2 linked regions of the Oryzias latipes genome follow. The protein of the gene in region 2 purifies or fractionates together with the protein of the main gene of each other region. This does not show direct contact. Links are inferred from orthologs where the notes say so. Each region holds a gene or a part of one and is shown on either strand. Other genes may lie near its edges.

The links. The genes of interacting proteins can lie anywhere in the genome.
Region 1: the proteins of tsr1 (region 2) and bysl purify together in Homo sapiens (affinity purification with mass spectrometry; 3 studies listed by BioGRID and IntAct, counting the BioPlex papers as one, with this or other methods). This does not show direct contact. The link is inferred for Oryzias latipes from reciprocal best matches to the Homo sapiens genes TSR1 and BYSL.

What each region holds. Positions count from the first base shown.
Region 1 is NC_019863.2:2,267,871-2,275,764, reverse strand, and holds part of bysl (bystin), read left to right. Parts: intron 1-5,117; coding exon 5,118-5,251; intron 5,252-5,333; coding exon 5,334-5,494; intron 5,495-7,894. UniProt on the Homo sapiens protein: Required for processing of 20S pre-rRNA precursor and biogenesis of 40S ribosomal subunits. May be required for trophinin-dependent regulation of cell adhesion during implantation of human embryos.
Region 2 is NC_019871.2:11,042,886-11,051,235, reverse strand, and holds the start of tsr1 (pre-rRNA-processing protein TSR1 homolog), read left to right. Parts: upstream 1-3,118; 5' UTR 3,119-3,144; coding exon 3,145-3,271; intron 3,272-4,222; coding exon 4,223-4,326; intron 4,327-4,406; coding exon 4,407-4,635; intron 4,636-5,974; coding exon 5,975-6,109; intron 6,110-6,217; coding exon 6,218-6,672; intron 6,673-7,042; coding exon 7,043-7,187; intron 7,188-7,282; coding exon 7,283-7,461; intron 7,462-8,350. UniProt on the Homo sapiens protein: Required during maturation of the 40S ribosomal subunit in the nucleolus.

The sequences.
Region 1 (7,894 bases), on a different chromosome or scaffold from region 2:
GTCGCAAGGTGCCTGTTGTGGCGGCAACCCCCAAATCCGGTGGTAAGGGATGCTGTAGAACTGAGCCAAAAAAATAAAATCTCAGATTTTTTCACACCAAATTCGATTTTGATTCTAATCTATTTCTTCTCCCCCCTTTAACTTTCTTTAACAAAAATGACAAATGACAGAATATTTTTCCAAAACCTTGATTTTAACATCTCCTTTGGAAATACGCTCCAACTCAAAGTTCTACTAAATGGGAGCTGTAAAAACATTTGTAGATCAACGCAGCAGATGTTTTGTGAGCTACTGTTGGCTTGAGCATCTCATAAAGAGAAACGCTTCTCGCTCTCTACAGAGTGTCTGTTTCAGGCGTTGAAACAAATTTGTCATACTCCCACTTTTGGCAGTTACAACCTTCAGACAGATTTTGCTGCTTCAAGTTTGAAGTCACAACTCCAGTGGTCACATTTAATTTTTTACTAGCCAAGTTGGCAGATAGATGGAAAAATCTACCGGTTGGGCACATTTTTACCGGACAAATTATTCCATTATTTTACAAAGAAAAACTACAGTTTCTATTTAAACCAAATGTTATGTTGAATGCAAAGAGAGATAATGGCAGATCAAAAACAAATGTTTAAAGTGACTCAGATTTCTAATCAGTCTTTGCTCTCTCCTTTTGGCATTTTCACTCTGTCTATTAGGTGTTTTATTTTCTATCCCAAATGAGTTGTTTCTTTTCGTTAGCGCAGCTAAAAGCCCCCCCTGTACCCCCCCATAAGGAAAGGGGTGTCAAAATCTGCAGTAGGTTTCGTGGATTTGTCCCTCATGGTATCCTGTGGAGGGTGCTCTGGGAGTATGGGGTCCGGGGAGCCTTACCGAGGGCGGTCTGTACTCTGTATGGCAAGAGCAAGAGCTTGGTTTGCACAGCCGGCAGTAAGTCAGACCTGTTGGTGCATGTTGGACCCCAGCAGGGCTGCCCTTTATCACCGGTTCTGTTCATAGTTTTTATGGATAGAATTTCTAGGCGCAGCCAGAGGCCGGAGGGGGTCTGGTTTGGGGACCACAGCGTTTCCTCTCTGCTCTTTGAAGATGATTTTGTCCTGTTGGCTTCATCCAGCCGGGACCTCTGGCGTGCATTGGGGCGGTTTGGAGCCGAGTGTGAAGCGACTGGGATGAGGGTAAGCAATCTGAGGTCATGATTCTTGACCGGAGAAAGGTAGTTTGCCATCTCTGGGTGGGTAGAGTACTCCTGCCCCAGGTGTTCACGAGTGAGGGAAGATCGGAGAGAGAGCTGAGCCAAAAAGCAAAGGTCTCTGGTCGATCTTTGATCCAGTACTAACCTAGTACCGGATAAATAAATAGTCTTCTGCTCAACTGCTCAACATTTTTAGGTTATTATTTTGGAAAATTGATGATGTGAAATGTAGTGAGTACGTGTCTGAATTGCATTAAATTAAGAACACATGATAGTTCAGTATTTCAGGGGTTACGGAGTAGTGAGGGAATCCGGACACAGCAACTCCATCCAAGATTCTGTATTGGTTTGAAGTCCAGAGACAGACTAGAACACTCCAGAACCACAAAGTGTTTTCATCAGAGCCGGTCCTTTGTTTTCCTGGACGATGTGTTCTTGGTGGATGGTACAGATGTGTTTCATCCTCAATGCTCTCACTGATCTCACCATACATCGCTCTGTTCATGTTGTCCCTGGTGTCCTTTGACAGCTCTTTGTTCATATTGGAGAGGTTGCAGTTTAACTCTTTAAGGGTGCAGACATATGGAGTTATTTCAGTCTCAATAATCAGAAATTGCACACAACCTGTATCACAAATACACACGCTCTGATTCACAACTGTATTTTTACGCAAACATTCAACATTTCCAGTGGATTTGGAAGCAAGGCAACAGTTGTTGAATGCAGTTGGAATTGAATCCAGAGAACTGTCCCCTGGTGATGAGATTTCAATGAATGTTTCACTCAGCATAGTTTGCTAATACTTTATCCTTATTAGCTATGATACTAGCGACCTTTTAGCACTCAGACACCTTGGACTCTTCAGTCTGGATCATGAGAAGGTGGAGGAGAAAAATTCTCAGCTTCCAAAAAAAGTTCTGTGGAGAAACTGGCATCACTTTGTACCACTCTCCATATTAAAGATGCAGCGTGACTACATTACCTCAAAGTAAACCCCACAGGTCAATACCCCCACACACACCTTTGTTTTTTTTTTCATTCTTCAAATCAGGGCTGAGAGTGGAGTCAGCCTCCAACTGTCCTGTTGCGTTACCTCTAAAGTTAGAACAGAGTTACTAGACTGACTATAATGATAATGGATGATTTGATTTTGTTACTAACTAGAGGACTTTGCACCTTCGGACTTTAAAACTTTTCCGCCATGCTTGTGTGCCGTGCACCTTCAGTTCCGACATCAGTGTAAAAGCTGGAGAAAGTCAATGGGGCCATTGGATTGGCTGAAAGCCAGCACGCCTGCTTTGCTGATGAGTTTGATTGACAGATTCATCGGTGACATTAGTTGACCTGCTGCATGAAGGGAGTCTCAATATTCACCGTAGAATAATCTCTCACAAATGTGGGGAGATTCACAAATGAGAGCGGGTTTGTGAATCACATTCTAACATTTTCATGATCTGTGAATTCATATCACAAGTGTACCTAAAATGATGTTTGTGAAGGATCTATTGTGCATTTCTGAAAATTGTGTTTTTGTGAAACACAGCATGTACATTTGTGAGAAAACTTTTTGTGCATGTGTGAAACACAACGTGTGTGTTTGTGAAACACAGGGTGTGCATTTGTCAAACACAACGTGTGGATTTCCAAATTAATATTGCACGTTTGCGTAAAAGTACAGTTGTGAATCAGAGCGTGTGTATTTGTGTTACAGGTTGTGTGCAATTTCTGATTATTGAGACTGAATTAACTCCATACTGACAGGTGGTTTTTAATACTGATAACCAATAGAAAAAACAAAAAAAAAACCAGGTGGCATTTAATACAGGTGACGAGTGGAGAATAGAAGAACTACTTAACCCTTGTGCTATCTTAGATGACCCCCCCCCCTTCCATTGACGTGTTCTCCCTACCATGACAAAGGTGGATAAAGGTGGAAAGATTTCATGTAATCCATGGACACCAGTGAAGATCACAAATCATTGAAGAAAAAAGGTTCAGAGCACTGTCTAGTGGGTCTATATCAGTGTTTTTCAACCTTTTCTGAGCCACGGCACACTTTAACCTTAAAAAAAATCCCGCGGCACACCAGGATCCAAAAATTAAAAAAAAAAAACGGAGAAACTCAGTATGTATTGATCTACAGCCCCTCCACAATCTCGCATGCATTTTTGAGATAATTGTTGCAGAAAAAGCTGGAAACTGCAGCTGTTTTTTTTCTAAAAGTTGCAATAAAAGTTAAGTTAGAAGATTTAAAAACAGTTTGATGTGTGTTCGTTGGTTTCAAGACGTTTAACAACAGATCTCCTTGTGCGCTTTCACTCTCACAACCCAATGCATCATGGGAGATGTAGTGCAAAAAACGGCCGGCGGAGATCGCGTCTCTGAGCTTCATTGTTTTGTTCACTTGTTCCACGGTCTGATACCGGATTCTGTGGAAAGCTGCACCGATAAAGACGAGATTTAGCTGGTATTTTTGTTAGAACTGAGCGATTTTACGAGCTAAATCGGGACAAGGAAGTGAAGACTTTAACCACTTCTGATTGGTCAGACTGATGACATGTGATTAAGCCTTCAAGAATGATTGGTGGAGACAGGTAAAGGGGCGGGACTTTTCCTAAATACAGCCGGAGCTGCAGCTGAATCGCGGTACCATCATTCTTATCAAAATGTCTTTAATAAAATAAAATAAACGCAAAGAAAAAGTATTTTACGATCTTTTATATTCCTAACTACTCAGTGTTTTATCAGGGCCTATTTTGATGAACAGAGAGCTGAAATCCCGGAGATGGGAAATGTTTTTATATCAGTTAATGAGGGTGATTTCCCACGGCACACTTGACCATCTCCCACGGCACACTAGTGTGCCGCGGCACACTGGTTGAAAAACACTGGTCTAGATGACCCAACTCCCTACGTTAGAGTGCCTAGGATAGCACAAGGGTTACAGTAGAAGTAACAGTCTGGACTGAATTCTTGCTTGTTTTTTGGAGCTAAACGCCTTTTTTGTGCACCAAGAAAATTCTTTAAAAATCCGCCAATGAATTTTTTTCTTTCGTCACATCGGTCTCACCTAAAACAGCGCTTTTTTAAATTATATCGATTGTTTTTGTACAACCCAAAAATTTCGCAAGGACAACTCATTGTGCGCTGGGACACTGGCCCTTTAAGCCAATGCATCATGGGAGGTGTGGTGTGAAAAGTGCCGAAAACTTGCAGAAAGACTCGCGTCTCTGAGCTTCATTGTATTGTCCACTTGTTTCACGGTCTGACACCGGACTCTGTGGAAAGCTACACCGCTAAAGACGAGCTCTAGCTGGTATTTTTGTTAGAACTGAGCGACTTTATCAGCAGAATTAAGAACAAGGAAGTGAAGACTTTAAGCACTTCTGATTGGTCAGACTGATGACATGTGATTAAGCCTTCAAGAATGATTGGTGGAGACAGTTAAAGGGACGGGACTTTTCCACAAACTGTCATAGCTGCAGGTAAATCGCGGTAACGTCATTCTTATCAAAATGTCTTTAATAGAATTAAATAAACACAAAGAAATAGTAATTTTAAGATCGTTCATATTCCTAACTCCTCAGTGTTTTATCAGGGCCTGTTTGGATGAACACAGAGCTGAAATCCTGGAGATGGGAAATGTTTTTAGATCAGTGAATGATTAATGAGGGCAATTTCCCACGGCACACTTGACCATCTCCCACGGCACACTAGTGTGCCGCGGACACTGGTTGAAAAACACTGATTTAGAGTATAGGTGATCCCCCTTAAATGTATTTTTTGATGACGTTTCATATATGTCCATACATTTTAGTCATTTAAACTGATCAAGGGGGGATCTCGTTGAAAAACTTGAACACATAAATATTCAATATCTTATTTTCTGCATTGTTTGAGGAGTTCTGATTTCTTTGTTTGTTTCTTGGTTCAGGTTCTGTCCAAATATCGCAGCGGTAAACTGCCAAAGGCTTTTAAGATCATTCCTGCGCTGGCAAACTGGGAGCAGGTCCTGTATTTGACTGAGCCTGAGAGCTGGAGTGCAGCTGCCATGTACCAAGCAACCAGGTGATTTTATAAACAAGGACCGCAGATGGACCCGTCAGATGTTCAACATTCATAAACAGCATTTTAAATGTTTCTGTCGCAGAATTTTCTCTTCAAATCTCAAGGAACGAATGGCTCAGCGATTTTACAACCTGGTGCTGCTGCCGCGGGTCAGGGATGACATTGCAGAGTACAAGCGGCTGAACTTCCATCTCTACAGCGCTCTGAAGAAGGCCCTCTTCAAACCGGGAGCATGGTTTAAAGGTACCGCTGCTTCAGATGTGGAGGGAGAACGTTGGTTTTTTAATGTCTGCAAACAATTTTGATCTTTGAGTTTGGTGACAAATGGAATATTAAAAAATACAAGCTGATATCACTTCAGAGACCCAAGATTTTAAAAAACATACCGTTAAGCAGCTGTCAAAGTTCTATATTGGCAGTTTTTTTAGTGTCTTTTTGACTCACCTGAGTTGGAGTATAAAAAGATCTTTGCTCTTCTTTTCTTTAAAGAGAAGTCAGTAATCTGCAGAGTTGAGAGGAACAGTCAGGTTTTCCAATCCCTGCGGCTTTAGCCATTGATGAAAGAAGTCAGTGATTTAATTCCCTTTTAATTGATTTAACCTGATAACCCACTGAGATTAAGATCTCTTTTGCAAGGGCAACCTGGCCAAATGGTCAGGAGCACACCTCATCATCAACAAAACTAGCACCAAGAAAACATGTCAAAGCAAAAACAAATTTGGAAATAAATGCAAGGATTTAGCAGCTTTTTGCAAATCATGGAATCTATTTTCATTGGAATGTGTCACAGATTAAATGACTGTAGTATGTATACTTGATTGTAAAAAAAAAAATATGATCAAAGATTACTAAATGTCTGCAGGCCAGATGACTTTGTTGGTTCTGGGAGGATAATAATTCATATGTACTAAACTGAGTCAAATAGTTTCAATACCTACAACTTTATTATATAAAGATATTCTATCCCTTAATGCTGTTGCTGTTCATGTTTAAAAAGGGTTTCAGTTTAAGAAGACCATTGTTCCAAACCAAACTATGACCTACTTTAAAACATAACATCCCCTCCAAGTGTCACCACTAGGTGGCAGTGCTTCTCTCCAGTGCAGCAACATCATCTTTTGTCTTTAATACCTAAGCTTCCATAACCATTGATACAAGTATTATCCTCTCAAGATGAGTAATGATAATTAAAGCTTTAATCATAATATAAAACAGAACTGTATTTATATTTATTAGCAGTAGCAGATACTTCCTACTGAGCTAAACTATCTCTGACCTCAGAGTCACACATTACCTGGACAGGTGCGTGTGTGGGGGGGCAAACTACTAAAACATTATAAAGTTACATTTACAATAGAGAAAAATGAAATTAAATGAGTGCAAACGAAACACAGATAAGTTTAATAAGCGACTATTGAAGGCCCGTATTTGTGACGTATCTGGACGTCTTTTTTCTAATGTCTTGGTGCAAAAAGGGAGAGGATCTTATGGAGATTAAACTGGTATTCTATCCATTTGCTTCCACTTATTAGTTTTCTGCTGTAGACTATGTTGAACAATTTTTTAGGGTTGTGGAGCAATTTTTTTTTATCATACATTCATACCTGATAAGGGTAACAAAACTAATAATATTTTATGCTAAAAAGTTTTTTTTTTTTATCCTTTGTGCTGTCTGGTGGGGTCCAGATGACCCCACTCCCAACATTAACGTGCCTTGGAGGCACGTAGTTTGTCTCTTGGAGGCAGTGCTCTGAACCTTTTTTCTTCAATGATTTGTGATCTTCACTGGTGTCCATGGATTACATGAAATCTTTCACCTTTATCCACCTTTGTCATGGTAGGGAGAACACGTCAATGTAAGGGTGGGGGTCATCTGGACCCCACAAGATAGCACATGGGCTAAATGTTTATTATTTAGAATTAGAAATGGTTCTTTTTGGAGGCTTTTAGCCACATCATTAATGCTACTTGTGTAATTGACGAAATGTTTGGTCTAAGTCACACGTGTCAAACTCAAGGCCCGCGGGGCAAAATTCTATGTGGCCTGCGAGAGCATAAAGGTTTTTAATTTCTTAAAATAAAAATTGGTGTGTATTTATTCATATCTAGGGGGAATCGGACTTGAAATATCAGATTGGGCAACTATACATTAGGACTTAAACACTGTCCATATAACCTAACCTGACAGAATCAAATGTAAAAGGATTTATGCTAAAGTAAGAAGAAAACATATGTTTCTATGCAACTGTAATTGTCACTTTAAAAAGTTATAATAAATAAACAAATGAGTAATCTAACATTAAGGAGTAGTTACATTTATTTTTCTTTACATTAAGTTACATGTATAAGTTATATCTGGCCCTTTGAGGACAACCACTATGCTGATGTGGCCCTCAATGTAAATGAGTTTGACCCCCCTGGTCTAAGTGAACACCTAAAACTTTCAATCTTCTCTACATTGCGTGATGTATATATATTAAGAACACCTTTCAAGTTGTTAGCTTTAGTAAACAACATTCAAGCTGTTTTTAGATGGGTAAGCAGAAAGATTTGTCACCGTTTTAGAAACCGTTTAAAGTGTTTCCATAATGTAGGCCAGCTCGTTCCTGGTCCTCGGGATCTACCACCCTGACTGTTTCCCAG
Region 2 (8,350 bases):
TATTGCTGTTGTTCTTTAGAACACTGTTGCCCCTTAGCGAGCTTTGCTGTCATATTTCCCGATGGCCTTTTCAATCGTGGACACAATAGGAGAAAAGTAAGGATAACCAATACCTTCATGAAACACCCCAGCAATCCAGCTAACACAAACACGTGCAGAAGAATGCTGTTGGACAAGACAACAAAGCTGGAGGGCTGGACTTCCCCATGTATGGCTTCACTACACTGCATTTCCCAGCATTTCCTGTTCAAGCTGCACCAAGCATGGGCTCTGATGAGCCATTTTAACCAGAGATTATCTTTAACTAAGTAGCAATTTGATCTCCAACTTCCTTTTAAAACTTCAAAACTAAGGCATGACTATACATTCCAATTTTATCACAGTAAGTTGTAACTACTTTAAGGAAATACTTGACGTTTCAAAACAAAGAACTGATATTTTCCTTGAGAAAAACAACAGAAAGATTGCATGATCTGGTCTGACCAATTGAAAACATTTCCACCTGGCGTACACAAATTCAGGATTTCACAGCAACTACGTATAAAAAAGTTAATGTTAATATCAGCAAATAGTGATTTTGTGATTTATTATCTTAAAATCATTGAAATAGTTGTTTTCGTGTTTAGGAGGCAGCCGAGCCTTACCTTTCTCTCTCTCCCTAACCTAAAGGACGTGGTTACCTGAGGTGTTTCTCCTCAATTTGATTGCAACATAGTTATACTAACTTATATTTTAGTTGTATTCAATGATTAAGAATGTAAAACCCTTGATTTTTTTAAAGATTAGGTTAAAAAACTAAAATATCCCCCCAAATAAGAGGTTTTGAGACATTCAAAACATGAGCATATAAACAAGAATCGTTGTTTTTCATATTAGCCACACGAGAAAAACTTAACTCGTAGCCAAGTTACGGTAAAGTAGTAGGGGAAATACTCGCCGTTTTAAATAAAACAGCAACTACTGGACATATGTTTTGACTTTCGCGAAATTAAACATTTCGTCTAAACGAACAGGCATTTCTCTGAAATGTAAAAACAAATCTGTGTAATGTTTGCTAAGTTAGCTTAGCATGTTAGCAAAAAAACTCGCCTTGGGCTGACAGGCCAGCTTCAGGTTTGAGTGTGTCGGATATTTCAAAACAAATTTAAAACTATAAGACGTAATCTCTCTTTCACGGCAAACGACGTAACGTTGCGCGCCAAGTCGTATTAGGTACCTAATGTCGCTGTCATATGTTTGCTTTACTCCGACAAGACAGCTCCAAATGTTGTAATCCCCACCCTTAAAGTAACTGGGGTGTCTCAGTCGTCAGGTCCCACTCCCAGGCTGGTCCAAAGATGGCTGCCAACGGTTCCACTACGGCCTTGCTTGACGAAAATGGGTTGGAAAAACGTGATGAAACTTCAAATCTCTCCGACACACCCATAAACAAGCCCCGAAGACATCCACGAATCCTACTGACAAATTGGGTCTTTTAGGCTAGCACGCTGTTAACTGAGCTGTTAAGTTATGTGAGAGTAGCTATCTAAACTCAACTGTCTGTCCTCTTTCGACATGTTGCAAACAACAGTTCGGCCCCGCCTGTTGCAGGAAACTGTCCCAACAAAATCCAGAGATTTAAGGAGGCAGCAGCCTGCGAGAAGAAGGCAGAGTTGGACGTCCAACAGCCCCGCCTTTCAAATCCAAGCCCCGCCCACTGCCAGATTTGAAGTTTTGGTTATTGTTCCTGTTTGAGGAAGTGTTTTTCCCTCCCTATCATCCATGGTTAGCGTGCTTTAGAGATGTCCAGCTCCACAAAGGTCTTTTCTGAGAACTGTCTATCAGAACCGGCTTTAACTTACAATAAGCAACAACAAACAGGGGCACCTCCAGAAAAAAAACAAAAAACAATCAGGGGTGCCCAGATAAGTATCAAGGAAAACCAAGTAGTACTTCTGTGGTAACCCAAATTTAGTTATCCAACTCTGACTTTGTTTTTTAAAAATTTTCTTTCAGAAATGTAACACAGTTATCAGACATTTTAGAAAAGCTTTAAGTTTCTTTTAGGCAAAGATATTTCAAACTTGTTTTTTTTTTATACAACCTGTTTATTTGAGCTTTTTCAACACCTTAGTAAGAGAACAGGACTAATAAATGAGACATTCAGTTTTTTAATCATCCCCATGGCGATGCCACTGGATGGACCATAAAGGCTGTACTGGAAGACACACAGGAACTACATTTTTAAAAATGTTTCTTTGTATGTGATATTTGATCACTTTTTTACTAAATGTATTTTTTTTATCCCTGCCTTTAATGCGTTTCCTAAGTTATTTGTGCCAGGCTGAAACATTTTTCTCAAACGTCAATATTGATGGCAAACTGAAAAGCTATACTCATTAAGTATTTAAATTTCCACTTTGGAAATGCTTTTTGCTATATTTTCTTAAACTTTAAATAAACCTATTCTCTTTTGCTGTAGAGTGTCCTGGGATTACACCTTTTGTGAAATGGAAAGAAACTGTGTCAAAAAGCTTAATTATTACATAAATGTCGACTGAAAATTTAGTTTTCGTCTCTACTAAAAGTGTGTTTTTTATTGCCTAAAGTTTTCCCTTAGGCATATTTGTTTTTATAGTGGTCAAAGATAAGATTTTAATTCTTTAATTTTCTCCAAAGATTTATTGAAGCTATAGCAGGCTTGTCAAATGACATCCTTTAAAATAGAATAGAAATTGGTTGTCAAGTTATGCTTGAAAACATTTTGTATTCGGTAACATCTTTCTCGAAAAATACATTTTATCTCAAGGGACTTCCTGGTAAAATAAAGGTTAAATAAAAAGTCTGCACATAATAGTAAAAAAAAAAACAACATCTGTTTTTTGCTCCCTTTTAAAGAAAAGCATCTGATCATATACCAAATTCTTCACACAGTGCAAATCTGTTACAAATACATTGTAGGGTGTTACATTTTTGTTGAAGACAATTTACAATGCTGTGCGATTTAAATATTATTACATTATAACGAGAGAGAAAATCCAAATATAATGTTCCAAATTTTTTGACTTGCAAGACTTTTATTCTGAAGAAGACAACGTGGTCCTAGAAACGCCTCTTTCATGACGTCAGAGGATATGCGGAAGTTCATTTCGCCGACATTCCCACATGGTGAAAATGGCTGCTGACGGGGAAAAACAGCAGGGCCACAGAGCTGGCATATACAAACAGAAAAATAAAGTACACAAACATGGTAAACATCGGACGAAAGGTGACATTGAAAGAGAAAACAAAGGTAAGTGATGCTCAGTCACGACGCGTTTTTCTTCTTGTTGGAGTATCTTGGGGCTGCTGTTCCTATGCGCACGTGACGACGTGCCTTTTTTTTAGTAGGTTTTTTGAATAAAATCCTGTCACGCAGTGTACGTGGAAAGTATATTATTAGAAATGAACTGGTTAAAGCTCTCTGAAAAATTAACACGAGTCCATAACAGACGAACTATAAACGACCTTTTTGACGACTTCTTATTTGATATATTGACATTTGATTTATATTTATACATATTATTGCAGACTGAGATGGATCTTCGGGATCTGGTATTTCATATTGAAAAGCTAGTTTTCACGCCTTTAGTGTTTTATCGGTGCATTATTATCATCCATAACAAAGTAATAAAGAGAGATGAACCTTGTAAAAACACAGCCACTTTGTTAGGGTTTCTTTATCCCCATTTAATAGGTGATTACTCTTCATTTTTAGCTAAACAAGACTACTTCCAAATGTGGATTCTTAAAACAGTTTATATTAGAAATCTTGTTTTTTGTACCCTCTGTAGTCAACTCAGATCACGTAGTTGCACTTTTTTATTATTTGAATTCTTGGATTCATAAAGATATCTTCCTTTTAAACTGTAAAGGCTTTATTACTTAATTTAGTTACTTTTATGAAAGACGATAATTAAATTATGTATTTTTGCTTAACATATGATGTGATTTTATGTGATTTTAGAGGTTATTTTTATCCTTAAAGATAGTCAATCTTTGTTTTGTAGTTTGCAGTTTTATGCTTCAGTATTACTGTTTATTAATCACATTTTTACCCCCTCCCCCCATTCTTTCATAACAGCTCCTATTTCTATCTCTGAAAGAACAAACGAACCACCGGCAAAGACGATTCTGTATTTACCTTTAGGGAACCACTTGCAGCACACCACCTTTTGCATATTTGTGTTTAACTGTCCCACAGGGAGAGTTTCAGTGACAGCCCTCACAAAAAAACAACGGAAGGAGCTGAAGAAGATGGACAGAAGGCACAAGGCCAACCAGCTACGCAGAAATAAGAAGGACATGGTATTTCATGTACTGTTTGATAAAACAATACCTCACATTCTTGTTTGATGCTACAGACTTTCTGTTTCTTGCTGTTGTAGATCCTGACAGAAAAGCGGCGTCTGGGCAGCAGGGACGGACCTCCTCATTTGGTTGTGGTGGTATCCCTACATGCAGGAGCGGATGCTGGTGCTGTAACTAAGCTGCTAAGAGAAGAAGGCTCTGGAGGAATTGTGCAGCAGGAGGGGTGCATCAGTGGCGTTAGCGACAGCTTTGGGCTCATTCTGCCTCGTTTCAAACTGAGGTTCACCTTTCTTAGTCAGAGCACAGGTATGTTTTGATTGATGTAAAAAAGAAACTTTGCTTTGATACATCGTCATAGTTAACTTGAATTAAAAAAAAACCTTTAGAAGCAAAGAGAAAAAGCTCATTTAGAAAACCACACAGCTGGGAAACATGCTACTTAATGTATTTTCTGGTGTATAAGTCGCACTGCAGTATAAGTCGCAGGACCCAAAAAATACATTATAAAGAAGAAAAACTCATACAGATTGCTCCGGAGTATAAGTTGCACTTTTGGGAGAAAAGTCCGACGTTACTGACCAAATTGCCAAGCCCGGTATAATTTTTTATTCACACCGAACGCAATGCACACTCAAATTCGCGTCCTCTCCCTCTTTTTTGACATGCGTTAAATTTGTAACCTCTACCTCTTTTGACACACATCAAATTTGATGCTCAACGCTTGTCCGAAAATGTGTTTGTAAACTAGATGCTTCTGTCGAATGAGGGAGAAGCATCCGTCATATTTTTAGCCTCACTGCTACACAAACTGTTTACTGTATATTTTGTTTATAATCAAACAAGCAATCAAACTTTATTTATAAAGCACTTTTCATATAAAATGCATGGAAGACGTTGAGAGATCAGGTTTGTTCATTTTGAAAAGTTCTACAAAAGCGTCTGTAATCATATCTCCATGCCTGGGCTCATGAAATCATTAAGTCTTTTTTTTTCTTACGGCAATCATTACCTTCAATACTGCATGAGCTGCATGTGATTGACGGCGCCACCAGCTGTACTTCCGTGTCTTTGTGACCCAGTTTGATTACTTACTGTCCAGTAATAGTCCAAGAAAGGGGGGAAAAAAAGTATTGTCTCGATTCAAATAAGAAAAATATAAAGTATAGGAGGAAAAAGATCAGATTCCATGTTTGTTTTGGACAGCAATTCTTCTTCTGCGTTGCTATCAGTAGCAAATACTGATCCACACACCTGCAAGGATCGCTATATATAGGTAGCTGAAACTGGAGTTCCACGTCAGCAGGTACCAATTAAAAAGCTATTTATAGCTCTCTGTGGAATTTGTAGTTCAAAAAGGAAGCTTAGTTAATGTGTCATGAATAGCATTAGAGCAGTTAAAGCAGGTTGTAATAAAAGCACAAACATCTTTATTGAGATCCTTTTTGAACAAGTAGGACTTGATTTTATGTAAATGTCTGTTTGGCAGACATTTTGGCAGGCAACATTTCTGTCCCACTAGTTTTATAACTAAAAAAATGATGTTAGATTTGAGATTTGTATTTACGTTGCAATGATTTTCTGTCCTCATGACTTTGTGATCATTTTCTGTTTCCGCGTTCTGAAACCTCCTGGTCTGGTTGAACAGCTGACATGCACTCCCTGCTGGACGTGGCAAAGATTGCAGACACCCTGGTGTTTGTCATGGATTCTGCTGAAGGTTGGGACAGCTACGGAGAATATTGTCTGTCATGCCTCTTCGCCCAAGGCCTCCCCAGCCATGGTTAGTTTTCCTGTGGTGGACAAAATTGACACTTTTTTGAGGGTTTTATTATCAACTTATTATTTTCTTGAATATTTTGTAACTTCTTGTCTCTCAACTCCCTCCCAGCACTAGTGTGCCAGGGTATGTCAGACGTTCCTGTGAAGAAGAGGGTCGAATCCAGAAGAGCTTTGTCAAAAATAGCAGAGGTCCGCTTTCCAGATGCCCGTCTTTTCCCCCTGGACTCTGAGCAGGATGCAACTCTGCTTCTCAGACACCTGGGATCTCAGCGACAAAGAAAGCTGGGTTTTCGTTCCAGGCGTTCCCATCTTATAGCACAGAACGTTACTTTTTCACCCAACGGCCCTGTAGAGGGAACCGACAGCGGGCGCACCGGCCTTGGCACGCTCTGTGTTTCTGGGTATGTTCGAGGCCATCTTCTTGGGGTACACCGATTGGTGCACATCAGCGGTCACGGAGACTTCCAGCTCAGTCAGATTGATGCTCCATCTGACCCACTTCCACTCAACTTAACAACACCCAGAACGGCAAAACCTGGAAAAATCCAAGAGGTGGAGATGCAGGTAGGTGTTCATTGACTTTTAAATACTTTAAAAAAGGATGTGACAGGTTGAGTCCAGTTTACAAACCAGATAAATTTGCATATTTTCTTACACGACAGAGAGTTAAATCAGAAAGGTTTCCTGCTTGGATCTCAATGTTTTTAAGGATCTCTTAAATTAGCTAACTTGACTTTGACCTTCATTCCTTCATTCAAATCTGTAAGGATGCATCAATAAAACATGTATTACTGTAATAGTGTGCAGAATCAATGCATGTTCTTTCTACTTAGAGTTAAAACACAGACTTTATCTGTCGTGAAAGTGCATTTTATGCTATTTAGGATGTTTAAAAAAAACAAAAAACAACTACAAGTTTTGTTTGACCCCACAGGAAAGAGATGTTACCGAAGCTCCTGTGCGAGTTCTCATGAAAGCTGACCCCTCCCTCAGAGAGAGTCTGCAGTCAGAGGCCGAGGTGGACCCCATGGACGGCGAGCAAACATGGCCGACAGAAGCAGAGCTTTTGGAGGCTGAAGGTGCAGAAACACAGCTTGTACTGCCTGCTTTATCAGACAGATAACTGATCAAAGAGTCTGAGCGCGGAGGATTGAAAGTTCTCTTTATTGTTCAGAGGCCAGAAAAAGCAAAACCATGAAGGTCCCCAAAGGAACATCAGACTACCAAGCAACATGGATCGTTGATGACAATGAGGAGGAAGTGGATGATTTAGATGGAGAAAGCAGTGATGATGATGATGACAGCATGATGGATGAACCTATGGATAAAGACGATGAAGAGAATGACTCCCAGGTATACATTTAAGGATTTATTACAATCTGTAAGTGGTCCAGTTGCATTTTGTTGTTATAGCAACAGCATGGGTGATGCAAGAGGGACTCCAAACATGTGAAGGATGAGCATATTGAGCAGAAGGTGTGGAGTGTCTGTGTTTCTGGGGCTGAAACCTGCATACGTGACCCACAGTCATTGCACGCTGCTGGTTGGAGGCACTGTTTGTTTTCTCAGTGTCCGTCTGTGGCTCACCGTGCCAGGCTGCTTACCACAACACAACAATAGTGTTTGGAGCAGGGGGTCCCGAGAGAAGCCTCCTGTCTTCCTGTCTTGTGAAGCAAACTTCCCGTCTGGACGAAGGGAAGGGTTGGCCATTTATTTCTTTGCAACTTTGCTTGAAAAGAAACTGGCGAACCTTTCCTTATGCAACCGGTTCCTTAGGATCTGGAGCTGTTATTAGCACTCACAGGAATACCTACCTCAGAGAGGGTAACAATGGAAAAGGGTACTTCAAATGATGAGGATTATTGTTATTGTGCAGCAGGGGTGTCGGAGAACTTTTGAATCAACCCCATGCAGAGTTCTTTCCGCTCAACCATCAGGCTTTGACTGCACTATGCCAGCTTGATGGCAGAGGTGAAGCATGTGTTTTCTAAAGGTTCCTTTCCTTTAGCAAATTAATGACATGGAAGTTGAAATTGTAAGACAAGAGAGGATGTCCTGTCCTGAACATTTGGAAACTTGCACAATATAAACACAATGCAAATATTAGACAGTGTGACTCCAGGGAGCTCTGAACCCGCCTACACAAACAGACACAAACGCCATCATGAACACAGCTGTAGTTTTTGGTTTTGCTCAAGTTATGCACTTGATTTAAGCTTAGAGACGTTGTTTTGTCAGCAGA